Linked DNA regions of Canis lupus familiaris. The main gene of each other region encodes a partner of the protein of the gene in region 2 in a complex. Links are inferred from orthologs where the notes say so. Each region holds a gene or a part of one and is shown on either strand. Other genes may lie near its edges. The genes, in order: IZUMO1R and IZUMO1.

The links.
Region 1: the proteins of IZUMO1 (region 2) and IZUMO1R are in contact, whole or in part, in a crystal structure (PDB 5JKC), measured with the Homo sapiens proteins. The link is inferred for Canis lupus familiaris from reciprocal best matches to the Homo sapiens genes IZUMO1 and IZUMO1R. Residues at the interface, in NP_872381.2 of Homo sapiens: Met75, Val77, Tyr134, Val141, Leu146, Trp148, Lys150, Asn151, Lys153, Glu155, Val156, His157, Ala158, Arg160, Lys161, Ser162, Tyr163, Asn239, Ser240, Ser241, Pro242, Ile245; in NP_001186135.1 of Homo sapiens: Lys42, Tyr44, Glu45, Ile48, Leu58, Trp62, His65, Leu66, Asp67, Gly80, Leu81, Leu82, Met83, Pro84, Gly85, Arg87, Ile91, Met145, Ser146, Tyr147, Gln171.

Annotation. Positions count from the first base shown.
Region 1 is NC_049242.1:6,676,716-6,681,065, reverse strand, and holds IZUMO1R (sperm-egg fusion protein Juno), read left to right. Parts: upstream 1-1,305; 5' UTR 1,306-1,675; intron 1,676-1,998; 5' UTR 1,999-2,004; coding exon 2,005-2,142; intron 2,143-2,881; coding exon 2,882-3,070; intron 3,071-3,481; coding exon 3,482-3,617; intron 3,618-3,733; coding exon 3,734-3,879; intron 3,880-3,910; coding exon 3,911-4,156; downstream 4,157-4,350. UniProt on the Homo sapiens protein: Receptor for IZUMO1 present at the cell surface of oocytes (oolemma), which is essential for species-specific gamete recognition and fertilization.
Region 2 is NC_049222.1:108,251,546-108,256,121, reverse strand, and holds the start of IZUMO1 (izumo sperm-egg fusion protein 1), read right to left. Parts: upstream 3,041-4,576; 5' UTR 2,522-3,040; coding exon 2,293-2,521; intron 1,909-2,292; coding exon 1,834-1,908; intron 1,448-1,833; coding exon 1,361-1,447; intron 1,093-1,360; coding exon 1,072-1,092; intron 729-1,071; coding exon 648-728; intron 497-647; coding exon 396-496; intron 123-395; coding exon 1-122. UniProt on the Homo sapiens protein: Essential sperm cell-surface protein required for fertilization by acting as a ligand for IZUMO1R/JUNO receptor on egg.

The DNA.
Region 1 (4,350 bases), on a different chromosome or scaffold from region 2:
GATCCTAGCTCTGCCCCCCCCAGCGGAGCCTCAGGCTCCCCATGGTTAAGTCGGGGAGGGCATTCAGGTTCGGGCCGTTCCCAGGGGTGAGTCAGACTGTGTACCGAAGGCACCAACCCAGCCTGGGCCCTTCAGGGTGCTCGGCCCTCAGTGGCTGTGATCACCACGGCGGAGCACTCCATTTCCCAGCATGCAGGCTAACTCCTGTCTGCACATCAGCTGTGCACCCGAGCAACACAGATGGGCTGTTTCCTTCAAGTATAAAAATCCTGGGATCCCTGGGTGGCGCAGCGGTTTGGCGCCTGCCTTTGGCCCAGGGCGCGATCCTGGAGACCCGGGATCGAATCCCACGTCGGGCTCCCGGTGCATGGAGCCTGCTTCTCCCTCTGCCTGGTCTCTGCGCCTCTCTCTCTCTCTGTGACTATCATAAATAAATAAAAATTAAAAAAAAAAAAGTATAAAAATCCTCTTATTATTCTAATTTCCTACATAATGGTTAACACCTCAGTCACCTTGGCTGCTTGTAACCTTGGAGAGGGGACTTGTTATAAGAAACAGGCAAGGAGGGGCACCTGGGTGGCTCAGTGGTTGAGCCTCTGCCTTCGGCTCAGGGCCTGATCTTGGGGTTCTGGGATCGAGTTCCACATCGGGCTCCCCACAGGGAGCCTGCTTCTCCCTCTACCTGTGTCTCTGCCTCTCTCTCTCTCTCTCTCTCTCTGTGTCTCACGAAGAAATAAATAAATCTTTTTTAAAAATTAAAAAAAGAAAAAGAAACAGGCAAGGAGAGGGGCTCCTTTTCTAGTGTTTTCGTCATCTTTGGGGCTCTCCCAAGAGTCCTGTTCAAGTTTTGCAACCTCTCCTGGTTGAGAACTTTCTTGTGAACATGATCACTGCTGAGGACACTTGTAGAATATGTCATGGGACAGGGGTCTCCGCATGCTCAGGGAGGCCATTTCATGGGTTGTGATGGGGCTTATTTGGTTTTGCTGGTTTGGGCTGTGGTCACACATTTAAATTCTTGGGTCTCGAAGGCCCTGCTTCACCTCTGTGTCACTGTGTCTGTTCGCTAGCAGGAACCTGACAGAGGTCACTGTCCCTCAAGCCACCAGGTGGTGCATCCCAGGTGTCTGAGCTGACAAAGGGGCAGGTAGGGCCGCGTGCAGAACGGGTCTGGGGCCCAGAGACAAAGGCTAACAGGATAAAGGAGAATAATTAAAGCTACTAAGATTTACTCTGTGCCGGGCACGATGCCAAGTCCTTTCCGTGAATTTTCTCTTTCCTCCCCCCCCAGCCATCCCTGTTATGAAACAGCCCTTTATACAGACAGGCAGACTTGGAGAGTTCGCCCCTTTCTCCGGGTCATCCAGCCGGCAAGGAGCGGAGCCCAGAGCAGAAGTCAGTAGCGGACCAGAGCCAAGGATCCTCCCCGCTACCGGGTCTCCGCTTCTCTGAGAAAGTGGAGGCCCGAGCTCCAGCCACAGGAGGCCCCTCCACCTCGGGAGATGGATGCTCTTCAGCTGGAGCCACCTGGAGCTCTGCAGCGCTCCTGCTTTAACTGGGGCCACCTGGAGCTCTGCAGCTGCTCCCAGACTCCTAGGAAGGGGGTGGGTGATAAATGGGCCTGACGGCAGCCCCCAATCTCAGGACGTAGAAGGGAGTGGCTCCTGCCTTGAGGGTAAGTATGAAGAAAGCGCTAGAAGGGGCAGCATCTTTCCTCTGTTCCCCTGTTGCACCATCCCTCCTACTAGGGTCTGGGGGACTGTCGGGCCAGGGGCTCCTGGGGGTGGGGTGGTGGGTGAAACTAAGGAAGCTGTTGTTTCCCAAAGTGTCGGGCATTTGAGGCAGGATGCTTTTCTGCCTTTCTTCTTCCAGTCTCTCGTTCCCCTCCCTCACGTTACCAGTACTACCCAGAACTGAGACCCACACTCAGTCCTTGGGACAGTGGAGGGGATGGAGTGGGTGTCCTATCACACAAGCAGATGTATCTCCTGTCTGCAGTAGGCCATGGAACGGTGGTGGCAGCTCCTGTTAGGGCTGTGGATGGTCATGCCTGTCTGGGCTGGGGACGAGCTGCTCAATGTCTGCATGAAGACCAAACACCACAAACGAGAGCCTGGCCCAGAAGACAAGCTCTATGAGGAGGTATAGAGGCCGGACCTTGCCTGGGAGTGGGAGTGAGGCTGCGTTGGCAGAGCAGGGAAGGGACACAATTGCCAAGATGGTTTCTGAACCACCATCAACCCTGACTCATCTGGTTCCTTACGTTGGCATTTGGGCAAGGCCACTGGAGGGACAGTGTGGCCCCTAGAGAGCAGAACTGTTGAGTGCTTCAAAGTTCCCATCTCTGGCTGCCTGGACGCTCGGGGAACAGGGGCAGATGGTGATCCCAGAGGCCCATCACTGGTTCAGCTTAGATCAAACAAGGTCCTCCTTCTTTAGCCTTCCTACCAATAGCCACTGGGGAGACCTAGGTCTTAGGTGACCCTTCCTCAAGCCTGAAAAGCCATTGACGGGAGCAAGGGAAGAGTTGTGGAGCTGCCTTTTACCTGTGAGCTCTGCTGGGCTCTGGTGCCCTTCCACCCAGTGCTCCACATTGCCCTGGGTGTCGTGGGGTTCCTCTGCTGCCCCTCGGGAGCAGAGACCCTGGGACCCCTGTCTCCAGGGGACTTTGCAGCCCATGGCAGGGAGATTGGTGGGCAGGTGCCCTTTGGCTGTGAATTTTGACCCGCCTCAACATTTCTTCTGTAGGAGTGTTGCTGGCCTGAAGGCCTCCCACTTGCCCAGTGGGACAAAGGGGACAGGTTTACCTTTCTGCCCTAGACACTCCTGAGTCTCCTGCGTCCTACCCGACCCCCAGCCTTTTACTGCTTCATCCCCTCAGTGCATCCCCTGGGCAGAGAAGGCCTGCTGCACAGCCAGTACCAGCTGGCATGCCCACCTGGATGTGTCCCTGCTCTACAACTTCAGCTTGCTTCACTGTGGGTTGATGATGCCAGGCTGTGAGGAGCACTTCATCCAGGCTGTCTGCTTCTATGAGTGCTCCCCAAACCTGGGGCCTTGGATCCAGAAGGTCAGAAGGTGGGGCTGGGGAGGCAGGAGACACGTCCCCGCAGGTGCAGTGCCCTGTTCGAGGGGCACAAGGTCCACGATGCTAGCGGGAGCAGGACGCGCCGCCCCCCACAGACAAGAGCAGAGCCAGGGAGGGGTTGGGATAAAAGATGGAGAGGAAGCCGCCTCTGGCCCCAGGAGAAGGGCAGGGGGGGAACAGATGGGAACTGTAGCATGAGGGACTGTTCGAATCCCGCCTTCTGGATGTAGGAGCTGTGTAGCCTGGGCCAAACAATGTAGCCTCTTAGGGAAGGGACGCTCACAGGCTTCATAAGCGAACACCCTCAGACGGCCCCGCACAGCAGCCTGGGCCGCCGGGCCTCTTGGGAGCAGGGCTGTCAGCACCCTTGTCTCTTGCACCGCCGGGACCCAGGTGGGCTCGAGCGGGCAGGGAGAGCGGATCCGGGACGCGCCCCTGTGCTGGGAGGACTGCGAGCAGTGGTGGGAGGACTGCCGCACGTCTTACACCTGCAGATCCGACTGGCTCGGCTCCTGGGACTGGAGCAGGGGTGAGTGGTGCTGGCAGCGCCCCACGGGGGGGGGGGGGGGGGCAGGGGCAAAGGAGGGCCGTGAGGGCGCGGGCGGGCGTGGCGGGAAGTGAGCGCCCCCCCCCCCCCCCCCCCAGGGAAGAGCCGCTGCCCCTGCGGGGGCCGCCTGCCGCCCTTTCCCGCGTTACTTCCCCACGCCCGCCGCCCTGTGCCAGAGGATCTGGAGCGGCTCCTTCCAGGCGAGCCCCGCGCGCAGGGGCAGCGGCCGCTGCCTGCAGAAGTGGTTTGAGCCGGCCCGGGGCAACCCCAATGAGGCCGTGGCCCGCCTCTTCGCCGCCCCCGCCCGCGCCCGCGCCCCCGCCCGCCGCCTCTCCTGCAGCCTGGCCGGCCTGGCCGCCTTGTCCCTGCTGCTGGCGGTGCTGTCCCCGCGCCCCCGCCTGCGCCCCCCGCTGCGGCTCAGCCTGGGCCCGGGCGGCCCCCTTTCCCGGGCCCCCCCAAGGGAGCAGCACGGCTGGGGCGCTGCTGGGCCCCTGGCCGCGGGAGCCTGTGCCCGAGCCTGAACGCTCAGTTCTAGGCGCCCCCACCGCCCCGCTCTGCTGACGGCCGCAGCCCCGGCCTCCCTCCCCACGACGGTGCCTCCAATAAAACAGCAGCTGACTTTTCCCTTCTGTGTGAGCCCCTCGTCCGCGCGCTGTGGTCGGGGGGTCCAGCTGCCCAAAGCGGGGCCGGTCCGTCGGCTGCGAGGCCTCCCGTG
Region 2 (4,576 bases):
CGGGAGGTTTTCATATTGGCCAACTCGCAGCGGTAGGTACCTGCATCTTCTAATCTCACCATGGTCTTGGTCAGGGTGGGCTCTTTCCCCACGGACAGCAGCAAGCTGTTGCTCCCTAAAACCTAGACCCAAGCTCAAGGGGTCACAGAGGCCTGGGGAATTCAGGGTTTCGGGTTGTACAGGGGTGAGATAATCACGGGGTCTCAATGGGGGAAATGGGAGTCCAGGGTATACTGGGGCAGGGCATAGGGTCTCCGGGGATCAGAAGCAGCAAAATCTGGTAGATCATGGGCCTTAGGGATTGTAGATGCAAGCCTCTGGATACAAAGATCAGGGGGCGCACATAAGCCTGATGGACTCGGGGTTCAAGGGTTACAGGAGTTAGTGGGTCCCACCCTGTAAAATGTGTAATTGTTCAGGCCTGCAGAGATTCGATGCCAGCTGAGCTCACAATCCAGGACCAGGTCTTCCAGTTCATGGACCACGACTTCGTGCACTGGGGATAGGGAGTTACTGTGGGATGCTCCCTCCCAACTCGCTCCTACTTGGTCTCGGCCAGCTCCAGCCCCGCCCCCTCCAGAGTCGGTCCCTCCTCTGGCTCCGCCCCTCTTTGCGTCGACCCCTCCTGCTGGTCCCAGCTCTCTCACCTCCGCAATCGATGGACTTTCGACAAGTGTGTATTCTCTTCAAGCAGTTATGGCACCAGATCAGAGTCTGCAACATCTGACCTGAAGGGGCAGCATCAACGCTGTATTCGCCCTGAGAGGCGAGGCTAAAAGGAGAGGGCAGGGCCAAGGGCAGGGGCGGGGTCAGGTGCCCAAGTCCCTAGGAGGTCAGCCCAAGGGGCGGGGCTACGAGGAAGCCCGGCAGCAAGAGGGATCCAACCCGACTCGGTGAAGAGCGCAAATAGAATAGGACCCGCTCCCCCGTGAGTCCGTAGTGCCGAAGGAATATTGGAGACCAGGAACCTCTCAGAAGTGGAAAATTAAGAAACATCGAGACCCCAAGGGGGAGGTTCATAACCGGGCGACGATGAGGGATAGAGGACCAGCTCCTATAATCCGGACTCACCACATTTGTTGGGACAAAAACCTGCCTCAGAAGAAAGAAAGAAAGAAAAAAAGATGATCAGATTTCTAAGTTAAAAGAGATTGGGGGGGGGGGGGGGCGAAGGACTAGGTTGGGGTTTGGGCTCTTGGGTTTGAGGGAGGAAGGTGCCTGGATCCCTGGGTCCCCAGGAAGGTGTCTGGATCCCTGGGTCCGAGGACAGAATTGCAAGAACTGAGGGGCTGGAGACGGGGACTGTGGGACTTTTGAAGAAAGGGGCTGTGGTCCCTGACAGACTCCCATCTTCCCTCACCCTTTTTTTGGAACTGGGTTATAGTTGTCAGAATGGAAGCTTTTTGCTTGATTAACATCCAGAATATCTGACTCAGGAAAGCCTCACCTGGGAAGGAACAGGGGTGACACAGAGTGCTTCCTCTCTCCCTCACCCATCCCAGGAGTGAGGTACAGGAAGTTTGTTTCTGTCAGAAGAGCCTGGCATTCCACTTGGTGTCTTCTCAGGGAGGGACAATGAAATTCAATGACCGCTTAACATAATGCTGGGCCACTGAGCTAAGCGACAGCTGGCATGAAGGCATTATTTTGATCTTCATTTAGAAATGACAAAGCTGTGAAATCCCTCACTCAGGCCCACACAGGAGATGACAGAGCTGGAATTCGAACCTAGGCAGTTTGGCTCCAGAGCCACTACCAGACCAGCTGTCACCAACTATTACTTTTCTGGAAGATTCTGGGGCCCCTCCTCCCCTGGCCCCTCTGTGCATTTACCTTGTTCTTCAGAGTTTGTGATACGTTTCAAATTCTTCAGAAAATCCACGGATAACTTTTGCAGTGTGGGGGAATCTGGAGGAGGGGAGGGAAAAGGGGAGATAGAACTCCAGATTCAAGCCTTTCTGCCTCATTGGCTCACCTAGTCTTAGAAACTACAATATCCATGGGGCTACTGGGCAAGGCTAGGACTGGTAAAGGGATTGCCTGACCGTTGCCTTCTGGGAGTTGTAGTTTTTCACATAAAATTGCAGGCTAAGGGGGAGGGAAACACGGCCTTTGCTAGCCCGGGGTAAACCGGGAATCTGCATCTTGGCCTTCTCCATTCCGAACCCAGTAGACTCTGGCTCCAGTCCTTCCCTCCCTTCCCACCCTGGCCCCACACCCAGCAATCCTAGCCCCAGACCAGACCCCTCCTTTCCCAGGACTCAGGATTTCCACGCTCTTCCCTGCCCTCACCGACAACCCCTAAATGTTGATCATTTAAATCTGGGATTTTCTTGAAATCGTTCAGCAGATATTTTATCCTGTCCAACACTCCTTGCAGTTCCTGACTCCGACTCGGCAGGTACTCCATCTCAAAGTGGTATAGCGCCTCCACGACCTTTGCATCGCAAGTGACACAGCCCCGGGCAGGAAGCAGGCAGCCGGCCAGCGCCGCCACCAGGAGGGGAAGTTGCGGACCCATTGCGGCCAGAGCGCTCAGTCCGCGCAGTGCTTGGGGGAGGGTCCTCTCACCCTAAACGTTCACGCTAGGAAGAAGAGAGGGAAGCGTTAGACTCGAAGCTATTCCTCGAGACGAAGACCCCCAAAATATTTGCAGGGCGCACACTTCTCGGTTAGGAAACCGGGAAGTCCGGAGATCCGGTGCACCGTTAACAACCGCTCTCCGATCTTGGCCTCGACTGTTGCACCCTCAAATACTAGGGTTCGCTGAAGAGCCGAATCCGGGCTGAGGGCTTTTAGGACAAGCAGGGCCCGTCCTTCCAACTCTATTTTCCCGCGAATAAAATTAAGGATTTTGGGGGGAGAGGGTGAGGTTGGTCGCGTAATTTGGAGAGCTTTTTGAATGGAGTCAAGGTCACCGTTCGCCCGATCTACAAGGAGTTTCCACAGCTTCCAGCTTCTAGCTTCCCACTTGGGGCCGCAACTTCCCAGAAGATGCTCCCTGGGAGTTTCCTTGGCCCCGCCCCACAAGCCCAACGCTGAGTCTCATTAGACCGTAACAAAGGGAGGCTCCGCCTACCGTTCCGTGATATCACAGAGACCGCTGTCTTTTCAGACCAGAACTTTCCTAGCGTCTACCGAAAGGAAAAGTATTTTGTGCCCTCCGGCTTCTAAAGCCAAGGAAAGGGCTTCTGGTCTTCAGCTTCCTCCCGTCCTTGAGCCCCCGGACCCAGGCTTCCGGCAAAGTGCACAGGACCTTTTGCAAACCTGGCTTCGAGCCACGACCCTGAGAGAAGTGGCCCGTTCTAGCCCTCAGACTACGACTCCCAGGAAGCCCTGGGGTTCTCCCTAGCCGATTACTCTGGCCGCCGCGAGGACTAGATGGGAAATGTAGTTTCAAAATTGCGCACTTCAGACTCCTGGGTGGCTCAGGGCGCGATCCTGGAGTTTCAGGATCCAGTCCCACTTCGGGCTTCCCGTGTGGAGCCTGCTTCTCCCTCTGCCTATATCTATACCTCTCTCTCTGTCTCATGAATAAATAAATAAAAGAAAAATTGCCCACTTTGTTCACTCTTCCCTCTACCTTCTCTCCCTGGCCCAAGGGGCTTGATGCCAGGGTTCCAGAGGAAAGAGGCCTAGAACCAGTACTGAGAAACTGGGGCCCTATGGATCCAGCAGGTCTCTCCTTTTCTGCATAACTGAAACAGGCCACCAGAAAAACAAGCACCAGGGTTCACACAACTCTGAGAACCAGAGGCTGCCAGACCAGAGCAGGACAATACTCCTGCTTTGACATAAATAATGAGTCCCTGGCAGTTCTGCACTTTGCCTCCTCCTCCTCCTCCTACACACACACACACACACACACACACACACACGACTCCAAAAAATCTGCAGACAGAAGTTGGTGATGTGGACTTTTAATTCATACCTCCCTCTCTTCAACCTTGGCAGCTGAGTAGGGAGTGATCCCTCCAAACTCCTTGAGATGACTGAAAAAAGGGGCTTGCATTCTTCTGGTTAGATAGGGGATGCGATCACGGTTGTCTATAATAAAGCTAGCTATCCCCACTGCCTTCAAAAAGCCTCAAGGGGTTCCAGGAAGCTGAGTCCAGAATCCCATCCTCCTTTGCCAGACCCTGTGCTCTTTCCTGCCTGGGTTTGAGGCCAGCCCGGACTCTGCATACCTTCAGATCCTTTCAAATTCGAAGCCAGATTTAGTGGTTCTGTGAAATGCGGGTGGGGGTGGGGGGAGAGACACACAATCTTAGAGGCTTGCAGAAAAGCCCAAGGAAACAGTCATGCTAGCTGAATTACAGAAAATTGATTGCATCACCACCCCGCCGCTCCCACCCACCCTCACCCTACTGCCCCCGCAGCCCAGCCACAGACGTAGAGGAGGAAACTTTCAACTTTCATAACTGGGAGAGGTGACCTAGTGTGGTGCTTGTCTTTGGCAGCTTTTGATCTTAAAAAAAAAGTGTTCCTATACTTCTGGAAAACTCTGCTCCAGGAGCTTTCAGCAGCCGTCCCCTTTCCCCACCTCGCATGTTTTCAGCCTATCTGCTCAAACAAG